2 linked regions of the Macaca mulatta genome follow. The protein of the gene in region 1 interacts with the protein of each later gene in a pairwise test. Links are inferred from orthologs where the notes say so. Each region holds a gene or a part of one and is shown on either strand. Other genes may lie near its edges.

What was found.
Region 2: the proteins of UBASH3B (region 1) and DOC2A interact in binary tests that used the Homo sapiens proteins (3 or more experiments, as listed by UniProt). The link is inferred for Macaca mulatta from reciprocal best matches to the Homo sapiens genes UBASH3B and DOC2A.

Annotation. Positions count from the first base shown.
Region 1 is NC_133419.1:123,272,622-123,276,914, forward strand, and holds the start of UBASH3B (ubiquitin-associated and SH3 domain-containing protein B), read left to right. Parts: upstream 1-1,317; 5' UTR 1,318-1,643; coding exon 1,644-1,804; intron 1,805-4,293. UniProt on the Homo sapiens protein: Interferes with CBL-mediated down-regulation and degradation of receptor-type tyrosine kinases. Promotes accumulation of activated target receptors, such as T-cell receptors and EGFR, on the cell surface.
Region 2 is NC_133425.1:28,559,465-28,563,947, forward strand, and holds the start of DOC2A (double C2-like domain-containing protein alpha), read left to right. Parts: upstream 1-1,558; 5' UTR 1,559-1,753; coding exon 1,754-1,947; intron 1,948-2,264; exon of another isoform or gene 2,265-2,302; coding exon 2,303-2,393; exon of another isoform or gene 2,394-2,551; intron 2,552-2,691; exon of another isoform or gene 2,692-2,805; intron 2,806-3,061; coding exon of another isoform or gene 3,062-3,065; coding exon 3,066-3,336; intron 3,337-3,750; coding exon 3,751-3,830; intron 3,831-4,025; coding exon 4,026-4,100; intron 4,101-4,196; coding exon 4,197-4,306; intron 4,307-4,483. UniProt on the Homo sapiens protein: Calcium sensor which most probably regulates fusion of vesicles with membranes. Binds calcium and phospholipids. May be involved in calcium dependent neurotransmitter release through the interaction with UNC13A.

The sequences.
Region 1 (4,293 bases):
CCACGGTCCATACAAATGAGGAAATTAGGCTGTAGAGAGAAGTAACTTGTCTAAGGCACTGTAGTGGATACAAGTGCTCTAGCTATGCACTTACCAGCTCTATAATCTTCCCCAACCTCTCTGAGCTGAGTTTTCTCATCTATAAAACTGGGATAATGATTAAATACACTCCTAGGGTCAGTGTAAAAATTCAGTGAGTTAATTCATTTATTACGATCAGCACAATGACAGGCACATACAAGAGCCCAATAAATGTTAGGTTTTATTATTACTATTATTACCCAAAAAAGACTATCGGTTATGGTTTACTCATTGCCTCTTTCATTATAGCAAGTGGGACCCTTGTCCCTGACTGAAGACAATGACTTTGTTTCCAAATGAAAGAGCGTTAACATCCCCCAGCCAAATTTACCAGGTGGGGCATGGAGCATCAATATGGTTATGACTTCCACCATCTTTGCAGTGGGAGTAGTTTTGTCCAACCTACGATACAATTCACTTATTATTGTGCAGTGGTGATTCAGTCCTTCTTTGAATCCTTTTATTGACAGGATATCCACTCCCTCATGAAATAAGCCTATTCCCTTTTGAACACCTCTTATAATTAGGAAGTGTCTTTTCTCTGTTCCTTCTTCCTCTACCCTCCTAGCCCTTCCTTCTACTCCTCCTCCTTCCTCCTTTCTTTTTCCCTTCCCTCTTCTTCTTTCTGCCCTGCCCCTCTTTTCTTGTCCCCTCCCGGGTCCTGCCAGCTCTGAGAACATGAGGTCCTGTTCCCCACTCCCTCTGCCCCACCCAGAAGGCACTATCCAGTCACTGACCATAACCTTGTAGAGCACAGTAGGTCTTGAGTGCAGCCACTTGGACGGCTGATTGGGAACTCAGCCTCCGATGGTCCTAACAACCCTTTGGGTTTTGCAGGATCTTTGGGAAGCAAAACCTTTTACCTAGGACTTATGACTTGGCCTTCTGGTCCATTAGTATCATCCATCAGTTCACCCGATTTCCGTTAATGACCGCATCTAGAACCACAAGAAACTTGAAATGGGTTGATCTGCTGTCTTGAGGCCCAGCTGGGAGGGTATGCCAGCCAAAGAGAGGGCTGGGGCGCCCGGCGTGACGGTCGGGAGCTGAAGCACACAAGCAGCCCATAAGGTTGGGATCCTCCGCCTCCAAGTAGCGCGACTAGAGCTCTTCCACGCACCGAGCAGCCTCGGACAGCGCGGCCGCTTTAAGAGAGGGGCGGGGCCCGGGTACAGGCAAGTCAGGGCCAGCCCACAAGGCTCCTTTTCCTTTTTGATCCATTCAAAAATTACTCATTGCAAATTCCCGGACTGCTAGGCGAGGAGAGGGAAGGGGGCGGAGGAGACAGGGCTACTGCAGGCGCAGCGCTGGGGGCAGCCGGGGGCCCGAGTGGCTAAGGCTGGTCCCGCAGCGGCCGCTCGCCGGCGTTCTGGCTCCTGTGGCCTCACCAGGAAGCGTCAGAGTCTCGACACTGGGGAAGCTCGGAGCGCCGCCTCCGCCGCCGCCGCCTCCTGCCTGGCTCTGGGTCCCCGAGCCCCCTCCTCTGGCCGAGCCCGACTCCCTCCTCCTTCCCGGACCATCCGGCTCGGGCTCCTTCCCTGGCGATGGCTGGCCGCTGAGCCATGGCTCAGTACGGCCAACCCAGTCCGCTCGGCATGGCTGCGAGAGAGGAGCTGTACAGCAAAGTCACCCCCCGGAGGAACCGCCAGCAGCGCCCCGGCACCATCAAGCATGGATCGGCGCTGGACGTGCTCCTCTCCATGGGGTTCCCCAGAGCCCGCGCGTAAGTGGCCGGGCTCGCAGCCCTCGGCGACCACTCCCGCGCGCGCGGCCGGCCCTCGGCTTCGCTCCGGCTCGCCTCCCAGCGCCTGCGGGACAGGCGGCGCGCTCCCCGCTGCCCGAGACCTGTTGGGGGCAGGATGGGCGCGCTGGCAGCCCGGGACTCGCCTCCGGGCGGGGGTGCCGGGGAAGACGCGGCGCGGGGGCATTGGGCCGGGGCCTGCTGTGGGATGCCTAAAGCTGTGGGACGAGGGCGCGGGGTTCGAGTCCCGGGTACTATGCCCAGCCTCCGGGCCCCGCGGGTGGAGCTCAGCGTTTCTCTCGCGCGCTCTCCTAGGTCTCCAGCGCCGAGCGCCTAAGGAGGCGGGGCCCTGCGGAAGACTCGGGCACCCTTTCCGCCTGGAATACTGGGCTGGCCTGGGATCCTCCGGTGTCTGGGAAAGGTCGAGAGACTGCGGGGCAGGGAGGCCGGCGCCCCCGTTGCAGCGACTTCCAGCTCCGGATGTCGCTCTCGGGTTCGGTCTCCCCCTGGAGTAGGAGGAGCGGGAGCGTGGGTGTTGCTGCGTGTTCATTGATGGGGAGGATGGAATGAGAAGGAGAAGCGATCCCTCCAGAGAACCTGGGTTCTCGTCAGTGGTGACGGCAGCTCAGAAATCTGTGGGTGCCTGAGAGTAAGGAGGGGGAGCTGTTCTCCTTCATCCTTGCTCTAGGAGAGTGGGGTAGGGAAGGGCAGGGAGAGAGCAGGTGGCTGCCCCTGGAGCCTGCTGGGGAGAGGCCTCTTTGCCAGCATAGGGCGGCGGCGGCCGGAGTCGTCTTAAGCCGGTCGGCTCAAGTCTCAGGGGCTGGAACTCTGCCTAAGAGGAAGCCAAGGCCCAGCGGCCAGGCCCTTCTCCCCTGGTTAATCCCTGGCGTGCAGATTTCTTAGGTGAGGACACAAGGCCTGGGGTCCGGACTGGGCGCAGCTTCTTTTCATCTTTGAATTACATCACCTAAACAGGAGAGTTGGGCAAACTTTATCAGCAAGGGCCAAGTAAATGAAAGCGCTTTTTATTTTTTCCCTTCTCACATTTTTTTTTTTTCAGGTGATAACTTCATTTATTTATTTATTTATTTGAGATGGAGTCTCGCTGTGTCGCCAGGCTGGAGTGCAGGGGCGCGACGTCTGTAACCTCCGCCTCCCAGGTTCAAGCGATTCTCCAATCTTAGCCTCCTGAGTGGCTGGGACCACAGGTGTGTGCCACCACGCCCGGCTAATTTTTGTATTTTTAGAAGAGATGGAGTTCCGCCGTGTTGGCCAGGCTGGTCAGGCTCAGGTGATCCACCCACCTCGGCCTCCCAAAGTGCTGGGATTACAGGCGATAACTTTAGGTCTCCCCTCCCGTGTCCCTGGGCAAACCTTGTTTATTCTTTACTAACTTGGTTGTAATCTCTTAATCAAAGTAGACCCTTGAATTTGTTATTCTCCAGGCTGCTGGGACACGTTGGAGTGACCTTAGAAGGCCGTAAAATGGACTGATGGTTTCTGCCTTCCACTGACTTCCTAATACAACTTCCTAATACTAGGGCTCCAGTTCCTGATACCAGAATTACAGGGAGAAAATGTGGGTTCTGCAGGGGTGTGTCAGGTGTGGACGCTTCAGGTGAAGTCATCAGTATGGATGATCAACGTGCATAACTCTCCTTAAAAACTGGAGGTGGGGCTGGATGTAACCCTAGCACTTTGGGAGGCTGAGGCAGCCAGATCACTTGAGGACAGGAATTCGAGACCAGCCTGGCAACATGGTGAAACCCTGTCTTTACTAAAAATACAAAAATCAGCTGGGTGGGGTGGTGCATGCATGTAATCCCAGCTTCTTGGGAGGCTGAGATAAGAGAATCACTTGAGCCCGGTAGGTGGAGGTTGTAGTGAGCCAAGATCGCGCCACAGCACTCTAGCCTGGGTAACAGAGCGAGACTTCATCTCAAAAAAAAAAAAAAAAAAAAAAAAAAAAAACTGGAGGTGGGAGTGGGGAAGTCAGCTGGGGAATGCTGCAGAATTAGCAGAGTCTCAGGCTACTGCCTTTTTTGAAATGAGGCCAGCATTAAAAACCTAAATTGCTTAATTAAGGGAAGAAATACTTAACTGAACTCCTCAGACAGTCATATTTGAGATTCAAATCAGCTTTAAAGGGACATCTTTTCTCCTGCACTGAGTCCGGGAGGTCTTGCCGTGTCTTGACAGATTAGCATAAGGGTCTAATTTTGGCTTGCTCAACCCCTGAGATCTCCTAATAGCTAGCATGTATTCAATACTTATTCTATACTGTTCTAAGTACTTATATCTTTATTACCCATTTTATCCTCCTAGCAACTCAATGAGGAAGGTACCACATGCCCATTTTATGAATTGGGCAACTGAGGTGTAGAAGGGTTGCATAACTTACTCAAGGTCACAACAGTAAGCAGTGAAGCTGGGATTCAAACCCAGGTATTCTATCTGCACAGCCCAGGCCT
Region 2 (4,483 bases), on another chromosome or scaffold:
CAGTAGCTGGGACCACAGGCACACACCACTATGCCTGGCTTTTTTTTTTTTTTTTTTTTTTTTTTTTTTTTTAGAGACAGGGCCTCACCATGTTGCCCAGGCTGGTCTTGAACTTCTGAGCTCAAGGGATCAGCCCACCTCAGCCTCCCAAAGTGCTGGGATTACAGGTGTGAGCCACCACCACCGGCCCAGACACTTTGATTTTGCCCATTTTATGGGTAATAAGTGATTTCTCAGGGTTTTTTGTTTGTTTTGAGACTGAGTTTTGCTCTTATAGCCCAGGTTGGAGTACAGTGGTATGATCTCAGCTCACTGGAACCTCCACCTCCCGGGTTCAAGTGATCTTCCTGCCTCAGTCTCCCAAGGCACATGCCACCAAGCTCGGCTAATTTTTTGTATTTTTAGCAGAGATGGGGTTTCACCATGTTGGCCAGGCTGGTCTCAAACTCCTGACCTCAGGTGATCCACCCGCCTCGGCCTCCCAAAGCGTTGGGATTATAGGTGTGTGCCTCACCCCCTCAGTGTTGTTGACTTTACATTTCTCTTACTTTTTATTTTATTATTATTATTTTATTTTTAAGAGACTGTGTCTCACCGTGTTGCCCAGTCTGGCTTCACTCAAGCGATCCTCTGGCGGCAGTCCCTGGAGTAGCTGGGATTACAGGCATCTGCCACCAGGCTGGACTCCATTTCTCTGACTTAAAAAAAAAAAAAATTGCAGTGAAATACACACATCGATATGTACCATCTTTACCATTTTTAAGGGTAAGATTAGGTGGTGTTCGGTATGTTCACTTTGTCGTGCAACCATATTTCTCTTTTAAATAACAGCACTTAGAGATGCCAACTTCGTGCCAGGCCCAGTTTGGGACACTAGGAACTCCCAGATGAATCAGCCGCTCCAGTGGAACTCCCTGCTGGTGGGGGAGGCACTGGCGAAACGGTGCTGAGCGGAGTCCTGACGGCGCTGGAGCTGAGGGGCAGTGTGGGATGCCCCAGGAAGGTTCCTAGGAAGAGGGGACCCAGGGTGACTCCCTAAGGAAACGCCGGTCCCAGGTAGAGGAGCGCATGTGAGCCAAGATCCTTAGGACTGAGCCGTCTAGGTGTGTCCCGGGAACTGCAGGAAACGGTTGGGTGAGTCAGTGGTGGGCAGCGGGGGTGATAAGCCCTTTCGTGTTTTCGGGATGGTAAGTTTGGGTCACAGGTGAGTGAAGACCGAAGGCCAGGGGTGGACTGACACTTCGTGGTAGGCGCAGGGCAGGGCAGGGGGGCGGCTTGGGGGTGGCAGGGTTTGGGTGAGAAATGGCAGCACATGGGGAACGAACGCAGGGCTCGGGGGCCTTCAGAGCTAAGCCCCGACGCCCCTTCCCACCTGCGGGGCAGAACTGGAGACGGCAGGGGGAAAGGTGAGGGAGGGTGGTTCCTAAAGGAGATGCCATCCCTGGTCAGGGGACACGGGCCCCTGGGACTTGGGTTGGGCCACAAGGAGAGAGGCCTGAATGGCCAAAGGGAGGAGGTGTGCGGGAAGCCGCAGCGTCAGACCTCTGCCTCCTCCCTCAGATCGTGAGGCTCCCCAGCCTGGCTCGGGGGACCCCGAGATCCCCGGCCGGCGACAGCAGGCGGATCAGACCCCCTGCTCCTGTCCGCCTCTGGGTCCCTACAGACATGGGGAGGGGAGGACGGAGGCCCCAGCTCCCTGCGGGGGAGGGGCGTGAAGACGCGCGAGGTTCGGGGGAGATGAGCTGGCGTCGCCATGACAACGAGGCTGGTGGTCCGGCCCTGGGGACCCGGGAGGGAAGGAGGAGTAGTGGCCACACGCGCTGGCGGGGGCGGGGGCCCGGGTCTCCCAGGAGTACTTGGGGAACACCCGGCAATTCTGGCGGCTGCTTGCTGGTGGCGCAGGGAGCCCGCGTGTTTGCGAGTGCGTGTGCGTGCGAAGTTCTCCGGGTAAGTGTGCCAGCGCGCGCCTGGGGGTGTGCAAGGGTGTGAGCGTACACACGTGGGCACGGGCGTGTGCGCGCAGGGGTGCCCGGCTGGATGTGTGCACACGAGTGTTTTCCGGCCCGCGTGCCCCTGCGTAAGTGTGCGCGCGCGGGCACACGTGTCTGTGTGTGCGCTCGCGTGCGCTCCCGAGCGGGCCCCGGGTGGGAGTCCGAGATCCCGCCCCCTCCCCAGCCCCGGCGCCCCTCCCCGCCCCCCCCTCCCCCCCACGCTGCCGGCGCCGGCTGCATCCTCGCCTCCACCTCGCTCACCCCCTCCTCCCCGCACTTTCTCGGCGCTCCCTCCCTCTCGGCTCGCACAGCCGGACTCCGCGCTCTCCTCGCCGGCCGCCGCCGCCCAGCCTGCACCCGCCGTCCCCCCATTGCCTGGGCACCTGTTGGAGGCAGAGGCAGGTGCAGGGGGCTGGGCAGGCTGGGGGCGTGAGGGTGCTGGGGAGAGTGCCAGCCTGTGTGCGCTACGGGGGTGTTCGGCTCTCCTGCGGCTGCAATTTCTGGCTCCCCTGGGGAGCCAGGGGTGGCATCTGAGGCTGGGGTCTCCACCGGGGGCTGTGGTGAGCGAGCGGGGGAACCAGGCAGGCAGACAGGTCCTGGGGCTGAATGAAGGGACAGTGGGCAGTGGGAGCCTAGAGGGGTGGGTGACACCTTGACTAGACCAGCGCCTGGTGCAGAGGAGGACAGAGCCTCCGAGAAACAGAGGCGGGGCCCTGCAGGGTCCCTTGGGGAACAGGCAGGCTCAGGAGCAGAGCAGAGGGGAGCCCTGGAGGAGAGGAAGGAGCTGGCAAGATGATACAGGGACAACCTGGAGGTGGGTGGGTGAGGACAGGGTGGTGCAACTTCGACTTCTGCGGGGAGTGGGTTGGCAGCCCAGCCCCTGTGGAGCCAGCGTGGGGTCTGCAGGGCCCAGGCCTCCTGCCTGCCACCAACTGGCACAGGCCACCCTCTCCCTCGACACCTAGGAAGGGAGGCTAGTGAGGGCCCTGCAGACCGAGGAGGCTGTCGCCTGGCCCTCAGCCAGAGTGGCTAGGTATGATGGGCTCATTGGCTCACATGCCCTCTCCCAGCCAGGGGTGCTGCATGAGGGGCCGCAGGGGCGACCGCATGACCATCAACATCCAGGAGCACATGGCCATCAACGTGTGCCCCGGGCCGATCCGGCCCATCCGCCAGATCTCTGACTACTTCCCTCGCCGGGGACCCGGACCTGAAGGGGGCGGCGGCGGCGGCGAGGCCCCCACCCATCTGGCCCCCCTGGCTCTGGCCCCCCCTGCAGCCCTCCTTGGGGCCACCACGCCTGAGGATGGTGCGGAAGTGGACAGCTATGACTCGGATGATGCCAGTGAGTCTGGGGGCTTGGAGGCCCCATGCGCTGGTGGGGGTCTCCAGGCTTGCCATCCCGGGGGAGGGGAACGGGCCCTGCTGGCTGTGCATGTAGGTAGGGGAGGAGGGCAGTGGGGGGGGGGGGAGGTGGCAGGGATGGCTGCCACAGCTGCAGTCGGTGTGGAGATTACAGCTTCAGCAAGGCTCAATATTCAGTATTTCTGCTGAGACACTCCACCACCCACACAGCCCCAGTTGCAGCCGAGCCAGGGACCCAGACGCACACACGCACGGGCCCACTCAGCCTCTTGCACTCACACTCGCCGGCTGGCAAGAGAGAGAGAGACACACACACACAGCCAGTGCCCACCTGCTGGCCTCTCTCACACACCTGTCTCCAAACCGATCCATGCTGCCTTTCCTCTCTCTCCAGCCGCCCTGGGCATGCTGGAGTTTGACCTTCTCTATGACCGGGCCTCCTGCACTCTGCATTGTAGCATCCTCAGGGCCAAGGTGGGCACTCCCTGCTGCCCCAGCCCGGGCGGTTTGCGTGCAGCCCCCAGAGGGGGCCCATTCCTCCTTCCCTTCCCAGGCCTGCTCCTTCCTCCTGCCCTTGCAACCCCCTTCTGGGCTCCTCCAGGGTCCAGCTCTACAAGAGGGAGAAAGGTGCCGGGAGCCTCCAGCCCTCTCCCCTGCCCTCCTCTCCAGGGCCTCAAGCCCATGGATTTCAATGGCCTCGCCGACCCCTACGTCAAGCTGCACCTGCTGCCTGGAGCCTGTAAGGTAACAGCCTCCTCTCGCCCTGCTCGGCCCAGCCCGTGCCTCCGGCCCGTGGGGCTGGAGGACAGGTATTGAGAACCTTTCATCCCCACACCCCAGGCTAATAAGCTAAAAACGAAGACTCAGAGGAACACACTGAATCCCGTGTGGAATGAGGACCTGACGTACAGTGGGATCACGGATGATGACATCACGCACAAGGTGCTCAGGTGAGGGCTCCCCTCCCCACCACCCAGGTCCAGCAGCAGCTCAGGGACAGCTGACATTGTAACTGCTGGTTGGTTGATCTATGTCCCATTAAGTCTGTACCTCTCTGATGCTCAAGAACCATCAGCGGCTCCCTAGCCCCTTTGGCAGCAGGCCAAAATACTTCCCTGCCATTCCTG